Linked DNA regions of Saccharomyces cerevisiae S288C. The protein of the gene in region 2 binds, or shares a complex with, the protein of the main gene of each other region. Each region holds a gene or a part of one and is shown on either strand. Other genes may lie near its edges. A codon is read from its position in the direction of its gene.

What was found.
Region 1: the proteins of STH1 (region 2) and ARP9 are in contact, whole or in part, in a cryo-EM structure (PDB 6VZG), measured with the Saccharomyces cerevisiae proteins. Residues at the interface, in NP_012140.1 of Saccharomyces cerevisiae: Arg344 (codon at 591), Gln345 (codon at 588), Arg347 (codon at 582), Cys348 (codon at 579), Phe349 (codon at 576), Phe351 (codon at 570), Gly352 (codon at 567), Leu354 (codon at 561), Gly355 (codon at 558), Ala356 (codon at 555), Leu358 (codon at 549), His359 (codon at 546), Met362 (codon at 537), Glu363 (codon at 534), Glu366 (codon at 525), Arg369 (codon at 516); in NP_013747.1 of Saccharomyces cerevisiae: Glu28 (codon at 1,929), Tyr151 (codon at 1,560), Ile154 (codon at 1,551), Ser155 (codon at 1,548), Gln157 (codon at 1,542), Asp176 (codon at 1,485), Tyr177 (codon at 1,482), Ala178 (codon at 1,479), Gln179 (codon at 1,476), Asp181 (codon at 1,470), Pro413 (codon at 774), Tyr415 (codon at 768), Phe416 (codon at 765), Pro417 (codon at 762), Ile434 (codon at 711), Val435 (codon at 708), Lys437 (codon at 702), Gln438 (codon at 699), Ile439 (codon at 696), Phe447 (codon at 672), Trp463 (codon at 624), Asp464 (codon at 621), Val465 (codon at 618), Gln466 (codon at 615), Phe467 (codon at 612).
Region 3: the proteins of STH1 (region 2) and RSC58 are in contact, whole or in part, in a cryo-EM structure (PDB 6V8O), measured with the Saccharomyces cerevisiae proteins. Residues at the interface, in NP_012140.1 of Saccharomyces cerevisiae: Lys48 (codon at 1,479), Pro49 (codon at 1,476), Arg50 (codon at 1,473), Ser51 (codon at 1,470), Ser52 (codon at 1,467), Leu55 (codon at 1,458), Leu59 (codon at 1,446), Glu80 (codon at 1,383), Phe83 (codon at 1,374), Arg84 (codon at 1,371), Ile86 (codon at 1,365), Ser87 (codon at 1,362), Asp89 (codon at 1,356), Gln90 (codon at 1,353), Asp91 (codon at 1,350), Tyr93 (codon at 1,344), Glu94 (codon at 1,341), Lys96 (codon at 1,335), Leu97 (codon at 1,332), Leu100 (codon at 1,323), Arg101 (codon at 1,320), Ser103 (codon at 1,314), Ile104 (codon at 1,311), Asp105 (codon at 1,308), Lys106 (codon at 1,305), Phe108 (codon at 1,299), Gln109 (codon at 1,296), Tyr110 (codon at 1,293), Asp111 (codon at 1,290), Glu112 (codon at 1,287); in NP_013133.1 of Saccharomyces cerevisiae: Ala23 (codon at 1,573), Ala24 (codon at 1,570), Lys122 (codon at 1,276), Lys125 (codon at 1,267), Phe126 (codon at 1,264), Glu129 (codon at 1,255), Asn239 (codon at 925), Ala241 (codon at 919), Pro242 (codon at 916), Arg243 (codon at 913), Leu244 (codon at 910), Gly245 (codon at 907), Val247 (codon at 901), Gly248 (codon at 898), Ala249 (codon at 895), Asn250 (codon at 892), Ile254 (codon at 880), Pro255 (codon at 877), Asp256 (codon at 874), Pro257 (codon at 871), Thr258 (codon at 868), Thr262 (codon at 856), Glu263 (codon at 853), Met264 (codon at 850), Met265 (codon at 847), Phe268 (codon at 838), His270 (codon at 832), Pro271 (codon at 829), Asn272 (codon at 826), Trp273 (codon at 823).

What each region holds. Positions count from the first base shown.
Region 1 is NC_001145.3:336,217-339,883, reverse strand, and holds ARP9 (Arp9p), read right to left. Parts: upstream 2,097-3,667; coding exon 2,067-2,096; intron 1,981-2,066; coding exon 607-1,980; downstream 1-606. Other genes in the region: RCH1 (Rch1p), read left to right, coding at 1-466; YMR030W-A (uncharacterized protein), read right to left, coding at 2,281-2,571; formin-binding protein HOF1, read right to left, coding at 2,577-3,667.
Region 2 is NC_001141.2:115,906-119,611, reverse strand, and holds the start of STH1 (RSC chromatin remodeling complex ATPase subunit STH1), read right to left. Parts: upstream 1,621-3,706; coding exon 1-1,620. Other genes in the region: RRT14 (Rrt14p), read left to right, coding at 1,968-2,588; MET18 (Met18p), read right to left, coding at 2,708-3,706. UniProt on the Saccharomyces cerevisiae protein: Catalytic component of the chromatin structure-remodeling complex (RSC), which is involved in transcription regulation and nucleosome positioning. RSC is responsible for the transfer of a histone octamer from a nucleosome core particle to naked DNA.
Region 3 is NC_001144.5:206,694-210,399, reverse strand, and holds RSC58 (Rsc58p), read right to left. Parts: upstream 1,640-3,706; coding exon 131-1,639; downstream 1-130. Other genes in the region: DNA helicase RAD5, read right to left, coding at 1,900-3,706. UniProt on the Saccharomyces cerevisiae protein: Component of the chromatin structure-remodeling complex (RSC), which is involved in transcription regulation and nucleosome positioning. RSC is responsible for the transfer of a histone octamer from a nucleosome core particle to naked DNA.

The DNA.
Region 1 (3,667 bases), on a different chromosome or scaffold from region 2:
CTTCACGGGTCTGTCATACTTATGTGCAAGGCCATGGTTCATCCTCAAGCTTTTCCCTCATGAACCAATAGAGGGCAAATCTACAAGATTGTACCGCTATTCGTATAATATCTTTAGGCCTTTTTATTATTCAAAGGAAGATGCGATTTGCATTATGTTTTGTGGCCCGGCTAAAACTGCAGCACTGGGTGTATCACTAATTACTTCACAATACGGCGATAAAAAAGAACACCTGGGTAAGTTGTTGGTTCCCTTGGTTTTATATCAAGTTGAGCAAGTCATGACGGCAAATTTCTTTGTAAGCTTGTTCAAAAGATGGATACAAAAGGACGCTCAAGCAGACGGAAGCGAGTCATCTTGTGCAAATGAGAATGAGGAAGTTGATTTGGAAAAGATCATATCAATTGGAACTGGTGAAAATCAATCCGTTCTGTCGAACAACGTCCCATATACACAACCAAGGTGATATTTCCCTTGTTAATTTTGCATGAATTCTATATATTACATAACGTTTATGTATATATTTCCCATCCTCATTGGATGGAAAAAACTAAACAGCACATATTCACACGGATTTTGGATACACGAAGCATCTATCACGTATTCTTAAAATTGCACGTCCCAAAGAGCAGCCGGTCCTTTCATATTATACTTTTCTCTTGTGATATAAAATGTATCTTTAGGATGAGTGAAAATTTGCTTAGAAACAATTTGGGCACCCAAGAATATAATCTCTGAATATCCACTTTTCTTCCACTCAGGAAAGTAATCTGGATATTTAGCCAGTTTGATTACTGTAGGACACTGTACGTATTCTATAGTTGGAACAAATGCGGTGCTATTTGTCATAAACTTGCTTTTCTTTTTTGTTGCAGCTGGTAATACGGATTTCGCTTCCTCTTCTCTTTTTGACTTCTCTTCCTCTGGCTCTATAATTAAATGGTCTTTCAGTAGTTGACCCAGTAAAGCTTCTTTAAAACCTGAAATTGAAGTAGTGCCACCGACGATGATAATATTTTCCCAAACGGCTTTAGCTTTGTTAATATCATCTATGTTATCTAACGTCAATCCTACACGATTAGAAATATTCTTAATCAGGTTATTACATCCTTGGAATCTTTGCTTACCAACTTTAATTTCGTTACCTTTTTCATCCCAAAAAGTATTGAATTCCAAGTCGCTATTTTTAACATTTTTGACTTTTTGACCACGTTCTCTTTCCTCTAAAACTTCACGTGTATCACGACCACTTGTAATAATCTCGGCAACGTTTAAAGTTCCTTCATCCTCGTCCTCATTTTCGTTTCCAAAATCGAAACTTGATAGTTTTTTGGCGTCGTCACTGAGCACCTCAAAAATTGGTGATTTTTTCAATGATTCTATCTGATCATCGTCCCATTGAGGTAGTAGTTTTTTTAGAGAATCATTAATAGACTGTCCGCCCATTGGTATTGAAGAGACAAGATGGTCTAATTGTGCATAGTCAACAATAGGAATAATATCTGTATGATGTGTTCCAACATCAATAATACAACAATTCTGCAACGAAATCATAGAATAAGTGGCCGCTAAGGAAGCCGGCAATTGGATTAGATTGTTTATCTCAAGACTTTCGAAGACATATTGAGTAATAATCTCTAGATCCGATTGCGACCAAGAGTGGTGCGTAATCAGTAGAAGAGGAATATTAGATAATTCAGCTTCAAAAGCATCTTGATTTTTATTAGCTCTATCAGACAAAATAGATACAAATATTAGTCTAAGAAATTGTGTAAAGGCGCTTATGTCTATTATTTCACCATTTTGGATTGGTTTGATTAATTCGGCTTTATTATCCTTGTTCGTTGAATGATATGTGTAGGAACCATCTTGTCTCGTGGTCCGATAAATCTGTGTTGGTATTTCCAGCTCAGGTACAGTGAATGTTTCTTCATTCAAACCAAATTGAACGAGAGTAGTTTGAGATCTGGGGTATATTATCTGTTATGAATTGTTGTTAGTATAAAAGATTAACCAAAAACTGTTCGTGAAGACTTAAAAAATCCATTGATGAACTAAATACGTACCAAAATACTGTCCTGCCTAAATGGAGCCATATTCAATGCATATAGTAGTTGTTCAAGACACTTAACTTCGCGTGGTACATTTTTTCTAATTCCGCAATATTGTCAGTTTACTATTAGAGATTTATAATGTTGAAATTTGCTTTTAGCCACTGCGCGGAAATATGTAGTATTCGTAACAAGTGACTCTAATGATATAAACACAGTAGAACTGTCATTAGAGCACATTAAATAATATGTATATCTTATTGCGTCCAAATGAACATAAAAGTGGAAAGGGAATGCCTGACCTAACAATTATCGTGATTATTGTGTCAAAAATGGTAAAGAAAACTTTTTTTTTTTTTGAAAATATGAAGGAAAGACGTGATATTTTATGATTTTTAGTTACAAATCCGGAGAGGTGTCCTTCTCCCACGGCAGCGTATATCTTTCTATTTCTACTTAACAAAAATCTGACATTATACTTTTTTTCTTTTATCAGAAAACTAGTAAAATTGATATACATCGAGATCAAAGACCTTGATGCAGTAGCTGAATGAAATTATAGGGAATTAATCCTATCCTATGATTTCTATCTATACGGTCATTATCATAAACTTCACCTTTATACCAATCTTTATTAACAATCTCAGTAATTAGCAGATAGTCGCCCTTATGGAAATTCGCTAATCCAGGTGCCTCATTTCCAATCAATGGATACATGGCCTTGGCATATTCAATGACTGGAAAACCTTCACTGGTGACAATAGGCAAGGTAACAGTAATACCTCTATCCCTGACCACACCTCTCTCATCCATGATGTTTCCTGTTTTTGTACCTGGTTTAGAACTACTTTGGATTCTTTCCATTTCGTACAAGGCATCTTCAATTGGATTACTTGAATCTTGCATTATCATGGATTGTCTATGCGTGTGCCCCCTAGACGTTCCTCTTACTGCCACAGGAGGTTTGAACAAAATTGTGCTTGTACTGGTATCTCTCCTCGTGTTATAATCATCTTCATTGAGGTTGTGCGCAGAGTTAGGCGTTCTTCCCCCATCATCCGACCTCGAAGAAGCGGATGAGGGTACTTGCAAATGGCTCATAGATTTTCTTTTCCTATTTGACGAGTTCCATGATTTGGCAAATCTCTGTGAGTCGTCTATACTATTGGCCATTGAACTTACGGATGTAGTCATAGATTCCATACTTTGTCTCTTTTTGATGTGGCTAAAATCCGTTGGATTAGAAGAACTTGATTCTGATGGTGAGCTGAGAGATTGATTTCTTTTATGCACCATTAGACCTTTTTCATCAGGATTTTTCGAATCTTCATCAGGTTTAAGTTGTTCTTCCCCAACAATCGGCCTTGGTTTATCAGGTTTCTGCCTTAACACGGAGTCATCCACATTGCTCTGTAACTGGACGGGTGAAGACCTCAAAGATAATGTTGGGTTAGCAACCACTTTTGTCTCATTACGTATGACGGGTGTGGAATTTCTAAATTGTGTAGCCATGGTGACTTCTGGAGATGGCAATGGTTTCTCATATTTGTCTATTGAAGCTAGTTTCCTTTTATTTTCGGTTTCCTTCAGCTGAGAAGATAGTTTCCTTATATTGT
Region 2 (3,706 bases):
TTTTTCAAATTCTAAAGTCCAATTGGTTATTGTGGATAAAGGTACAATGACTAGGAAAGGGCCGATGTCTTTCTTAACTTCATAAAGATATGTTATTAGAGAAATAGATTGGATGGTTTTACCTAAACCCATCTCATCTGCTAGAATACCGTTCAAATGATTATTGTACAACGACACCATCCATTCTAAACCTCGTAATTGATACTCTTTTAAAGTGCCGCCAACAAGAATAGAAGGTTGTTTATCAATTTTTTCTTTGATCCTATGAGCGACTTCATAATAGTCAGTCTTTTCTCTTTCTTCATCTGTAATTGGTTGGACTTCCTCACCATGAAGAATTTTTGCTTCGTTTTGTTGTGCTCTAACAGCCTCCGACAAAGAATCCAAAAAGGAATTAGTCTGCCTCAATAACTGTGTAATTCTAGTATCCTTAGTTTGATCTAAAAGCTTTAAATAAGCCTCCTCATCGTTAGACTTCAAAGCAGCTAAACGTTGCTTAGCAGTTCTTTCTATTCTTTTCTGTTCATCTTTCTCCATTTGATTGTGTAATGAAGCGCCTAATCTACCGAACTGAAAGCAACGTTCTTGACGAGACCATTGCTCGGACTGCCTTTCTTTGATGAAATCAATGATGCTGTTTATTTTTTGTAAATGTAAATTACGTTCCTTTTTTCTTTTTTCCAATAGTTGTTGCCTTTCTAATTCTTCTGCCAAACGAACGGTTTGTGGGACAATAACTTTGCTTCTAATTTGAACAGATCTTTGTGCAGCTGCTGTGAAAGGAGAATCACGTAGATATGGAATATTGTGGTGTGCCTGGCTGGCAACATTGTTGATTAACTTTTGCCTAATCGATTTTTGTTTAGTTAGTAGCTTTAAACTTTTCAATTCCACAAGAGCTTTGATTTTGAAAGTATCCATTCTGGACGATAAATCATCTTTTGTAATAAACTCTAAACAATCATCTAGTGAGTATGTACCCAGATTGGCAGGTAATCTTTCCAGCTCGTTAATTCTGTTGGATATACGTGCAGAAATCCTTATTTCGGTATCTGGATCGCCCAATGCAGTCTTCGTAGCGTTAGAAAATTTTGATTCTAAACCCAAACTTTTGGCCTTCGCATTGAAATCTGCTGATATTTTTATTGGTTTCTTTTCAGAATAGTCTACTTCGATCGCCGTAGTGTTATCGTTCTTGGTGTCTGGTAAGTCTAAGAAGTAGTCAGGGACATCTGTATCTTTCTCCAGTAACTGTAAGGCAACCAAGTGTTTATTCAATAAATCCTCATCGTACTGAAATCCTTTATCTATACTCTTTCTCAAGGTATCCAACTTTGTTTCGTAGATATCCTGATCACGTGATATATTCCTAAAAGTGTCTTCTATTGCCTTGATCTCCAACTTGTTTTCCTTTGGATGGTTTTGAATAGCCCTATAGCGGTAGAGTAGCTGCTCCAACTGTGCACTACTCCTCGGCTTTGGAATAGTGATTTCAGGTTGTTCCTCGGACCCCAGCTTTCCATTTGTTTCAGAGGCTGCAGCAACCGCAGCCAATGCGGCAACTGTTGTAGGTGTATTATTCATCACCGTGCTCATCAACTCAGATTGTTCCTGAAGCATTCGCGCTTGCTCTAAACTGTGCTGCCTCTTTGTGTTGTTATTTCCACCAAATTAGCCGCTGATTGCCTTTGTTTTTCTCTATACTCTTTTTCCTCTTAAGTTTCGTTTTCGTTATTGATAAACTTTTTCTTTTCTCAGTGCCAAATTGGTGTCTTCTTTTTTTGCCACGGGGCGGGTACTAGATAGTCACGTGAATGTATACACGTGACCCTAATGCTCTTTGAAAAATTTTGCGATGAGCTTTAACTAAGGAATATGGAAATATAGCTGGCAACTGTGGAAATATTGTTTTGTGGAAAAGTTGTTTAGAATACGAACAACTTAAGGAGGGAGCTAGCTAGGCCAAAATGTCATCTTCGCTGAGCCAAACATCTAAATACCAGGCCACCTCGGTTGTTAATGGACTGCTATCAAACCTTTTGCCTGGCGTTCCCAAAATCAGAGCTAATAATGGCAAAACAAGTGTAAACAATGGGTCAAAAGCTCAGTTAATCGACAGGAACTTGAAAAAGAGAGTACAGTTACAAAACAGAGACGTTCACAAAATTAAAAAAAAATGCAAACTGGTCAAAAAAAAAAAAGTTAAGAAACATAAATTAGATAAAGAGCAACTTGAACAACTGGCAAAACACCAGGTTTTGAAAAAACATCAACATGAGGGCACATTAACGGACCATGAGAGGAAGTATTTGAATAAGTTAATCAAAAGGAATTCTCAAAATTTGAGGTCGTGGGATTTAGAAGAGGAAGTACGAGATGAGCTTGAAGACATTCAGCAATCCATCTTGAAGGATACAGTTTCCACTGCGAACACAGACAGGAGTAAAAGAAGAAGGTTCAAAAGAAAACAATTCAAGGAAGATATCAAAGAGAGCGATTTTGTTAAAGATCATAGATATCCTGGTCTGACACCGGGTTTGGCACCTGTAGGACTAAGCGACGAGGAAGACTCTAGTGAAGAAGATTAAACGTAATAAAAATAAATGCTATTTTGCTGTACTATACATAAAAGAATCATATTTACTTAGTATACTCGCTAAGATTTTCACGTGCTCATCAATGTGAACAAATTATTAAATACAAGCGTTTACTCGAACGGGATTTGGCCTAATTCATAATAAACCTGTCTTGTGTCAACGCATTGCTTTCTTATTATTCTTTTTTTGTCAGATAAAACTGGTATTAAAGCGCTTAGAACATCGTCCTGATAGCTCAAACAATAGTTTAGAGGTACTACAGTCGTAATCATTTCTAGAAGCTGTAAGGCTATTAACCTGACACTGACACTATTATATTTGTGCGGAAGCGAAAGAGATAGTAATAATGGAACTATTGTGCTTACGTGTTCAGTAATTAAAGTGTGATGTTTATCCGTAGTGTCCTTCAGAGTTTCTAAAGCGGATACCCTTACTTCAGGATCAGGCATATCCAAAGCCTGCAATAAAAGCGGGAATAAATCGTTGATAAAAGGACCAACCGATTGGCTTGGAGTATGCTTCAACACTAAGGATAATGCAGTTAAATAATTGCATTTAATGGTCATGTCCACGGTATTTTTATAGTTGCTGACTAGTGTTTGAAAAATGTCACCGAAGAATTTTTGTTTGTACAAGATTTTAACGTTATTATTCCAACTGATACCTTTAAATTTCTTCAAAGAACTGATATCCATGACAAAAACTTCGAATAGCTTCGATACAAGTGAGCCAATCTCTTCATTAGACAGTAAATCAATAAACTTTTTTGCAATTTCTGATGACTCTAATGAGTTTTGCATTATCAGCCCTTTAGTCAACCAAACCATCACTTCAAGATTAATTACTGATAAGTCTTTCCAATCGAATAATCCTATCACATCTTTTTCAGAGACGAATTTATTTGATAAGACCAACAGCAATTCCAGGTATCCTAATTTTTCAGTCTCCGTCATTCTTGGAGCATGTTTTTTGAGTAGTTGAACCGTTCCGAAAAGCACTGTAAATTTTTGGGGGAATTGGCAGTTTTTATTTAGTGCGGATAATATTTTAGCATATGAAATAGCCAATACATTCGGTGTGTCTAAGATTCTTATCTTACCTTCAGAAAT
Region 3 (3,706 bases), on a different chromosome or scaffold from region 2:
AACAAATGCATACTTTATCTAATATCAAAATATAAACATACATTAGTCAAAAAAGACTTGATGAGCTTTCATGAAACTAAAACAAAGATAATTCATTATTTATCTTTGATTCCACTACCGCTGACACTATTTATTTCTTGTGTTTCCGTTTACGACCTGGTTGCGCCCTTACCACAGGTATGCTACCATTATAGTTTGTTTGTAATACTGGAAAGGCCCTTACATTGTTTATAGGAACCTTGGAAACCTTCTTTGCTAAGATAACCTCCTTTAGTATTCTTTTCACTTTGAAGTATAATTCTCGTTCCTCCGTAGTAGGCTTCAAAACTTTATTTAAAATCCTCTCCTTTCTAAGTCTTTTAAGTTTTAAGAGAGAGTCTGAAACCAACTTATCTGGTGTGCCATTTCGAAAGTTCTCAATTTCGTCATCTCCAATGTAATTAGATGGTGTCCAATTATATAAGTTTTGAAGCTTGATTATGAATTGTTCCTTATTCTCAGTACTCTCTGAATTTGCAGAAGCGATAGTCGCATCATTATCATTATCACCACCATCGTCCTGAACGCCATTGCTTTTGCCGTCAACATTTTTGTTGTTTTCATCGTTCTGCTTCCTGTTTATGCCTTCTTCATTCGTGTTCAGTAATTCTTCTTGTTTTACTTTCTTTTCATTTTTTTCATACAAGTCCATATAACCAATTCTTTCAAGCCAAATAAGACCCCTTGTTGTCGAATCCACAACGGTGCCGTTTTCATTAAAGGAAGGTGCCCAAGAATTATAATTACCATATTTTAGCCAGACGGTTGTAGGTAAAGCATACCAATTTGGATGCAAAAATCTAGTCATCATTTCAGTTGGTGGTAACGTAGGGTCCGGAATATTACTAGTATTAGCGCCTACAAATCCTAATCTTGGAGCTTCGTTTTCTATATCAGTTTGAGGTAAGACGTTGTTTATTTTGAAGTTTGTATTAGGAAGTTCATGAGGTCTTTTGTCAAGATTAGATTTAGAAATTATCGAAGAAAAAAGGTCCATATCCTTCGTTCTTATCTGATATGTTTGAGAAATCGGCACTGTGTAATTCATAGAAATCTTAATAAAATCATAAGAGATTATTTTGTCTAGTTCTGTTGCATCGTCATCGTCGTATTCATCCATCTCGTTTCCGCTCAACAACTTACCACTTCTTGATTTAATATTATTAGTTTGCGTTAGAGCAATTCCTATCCTACAACATTCTCGTAATAAAAGCTCTGAAGAAAATTTGTAGAACTTGTCGACTAATTGGTAGTTTCTTGTACCCTGAGGATAAAAGTGAATGAGGATTGTACAAACCAGCTTAATGTCGTGATACAGCTTATAAAACCCACCTTGTATGGGTTCGTACTCTCCATTTTCAAACCTCTTATTGATAGTTGTCAAAACTAATTTATCTTCATTACGTATCAAACCTTCAGAGTTACTTCTATTTTTAATGAATTTACAATATGATTCATATATCTTATCCGGATTTTTCTCAAAGAACTTGGCTGGAAAACTTTCATCTACTACATGACATTTCACAGAGGCAGCATTCAAAATGGATTGAACATTTACCAAAAAATCTACTAGTTTATTTCCACCTACACTTTCTGTCATAATGAAAACTTTCGATTTTCAAAATTATCTCTTATTTGATCCCGACTGATGATGATTTTCTTCGTCTTCGTATTTCTATCGTCCATGCCTTATGGCGCTGTTTTATTTTCTTAATTGTTTTTTTAATAATTGCAACTTAAAAATACGGGTAACGGAAAAGGAAGATAATAGAAGTTGCATGAAGTAGCTGAAGAATAATTAGTTCTTTCGGGTTGAAAATAATAATAAATAAAGTCTTTATATATGAGTATGTGGTATGACTATTCAAACAGCATCTGGATTTCTTCAATTCTCCTTTTTCTTCTCTCGTCTTCGTCTGTGTCCATGGCCTCACCGATGGTTCTCTTCTTTTCTTGAATGCGTAGCATTTTTTCTTCTATGCTATCTTGTATGATAAATCTCATAACTTTGACGCTGTTTGTCTGGCCAATTCTATGCAGTCTATCGATTGCCTGATCTTCCATACTGGGCGACCACCATGGGTCCATCATATAAGCGTGGGAAGCACACGTTAGATTCAAACCCACGCCACCAGCCTTCAGCGAGAGTAATAGGATTTTTTGCCTGCTATAGTCTTTAACGGCAAAATCTGCTAATACACTAGTTCTTTCTTTTAATGAGAGACGTCCATCGAATTTATAAATTTTTGCAACATCTTTTGAGAAAGTATGAGTTAGCTCTTTCTCCAGGATATCCAAGTATGTAGAAAATTGGGAAAAAATGACAACTTGTTCGCCTGCCGAACTATCCTGTAGCAATTGAAGCTCCTTCAATAAAGCAGTGATTTTGCTTGATTTGGAGGCTGGTGAATATGGTTTGAATTCCAAATTTTTCGAGTTGCTATTCGTTTGTACCAATGCCAACAACCGACAAGCGTCTATTTGGTTACGGCAATTGGGGCACTTTAAACCCAAATTCTTACTGTTCTGAAACTCAATATATTCAAATAAACATTTCTCACAAAAACTGTGGCCGCATTCTGTAAATAAAGCCTTGTCCAAATCCATAGGTTCCGTTGTGCAGATGGAGCACTCTAAGGACTGAAACGATTTATTGTCTGGATATTTAACTTTTAATCTTTGTATCATTGCATCTAATTCCTCCTTAGAAAATGAGTTATCGAATCTCTCGGAAACAACACGCATTAAAGAGTCAAGCTCCACCGTTTGTTCCGTAACCAATTTATTATTTTTAGATAAATCCTCATCGTTCTCATCTTGACTCCCAATAAGACCGGGATGGCAACAGACTTGCCTCAATCTTAAAATATGGACAAGGATAGTGGAGTACTTTTTCAATAAATCACCGCGTGCAATACCCGATTTAACAGAAACTTCAGCCTTATCCAACAGAAACTTGTATAGAAGATCTTGAGATTTACTGAAGGGAAGTCTTTTAATAACGACCTCCTTTGGTGGCAACTCTACTAATGGCTTACCATCTTTATCTTTCATTTGTTTTGTCCTTCTTAACAATACGGGTTCCAGAATTGCATTCACCACATCAAATGCTTGTTTGTAATTTTTACTCTCAAAAGGCGTTGATACAAAGGTCTTCCAGTAATTAATTTGCCGCCAGGGATCTAACTCTAAAAACTTAACCAGACTGTATAAATCGTCAAGCCTGTTAATAATTGGTGTTCCTGTTAAAACCCATTTACATTTGCCTTGTAAAGCCATGACTGCTTTAGATGTAACTGTCGTTCTGTTTCTAATGTTATGACCCTCGTCGATTATTATGCGATAAAAATTGACAGAAAATAAGCCTGAAGATATATTGACGTCCTCATCTGTCATCCTTCCCTTGGAATGTTTAGTCCATTCATTTTGAACAATACCATATGTAGTAAGGACTACAGTTGGAGGGGTTTTTGTCTTGGTTAATAGGGTTTTCAAACTGGAAACATTCCCACCATAATACACCTCATGATACATATCGGGGGAATTATTAGCTTTTGTAAACTCGTTACTCCACTGCGTTAACAAAGACATTGGGACCACGATTAGCGTTGTTTTTGAAGCATATGGTTTCTTATTATCTTGCCAAGTGCTTGGAAGATTATCTGAG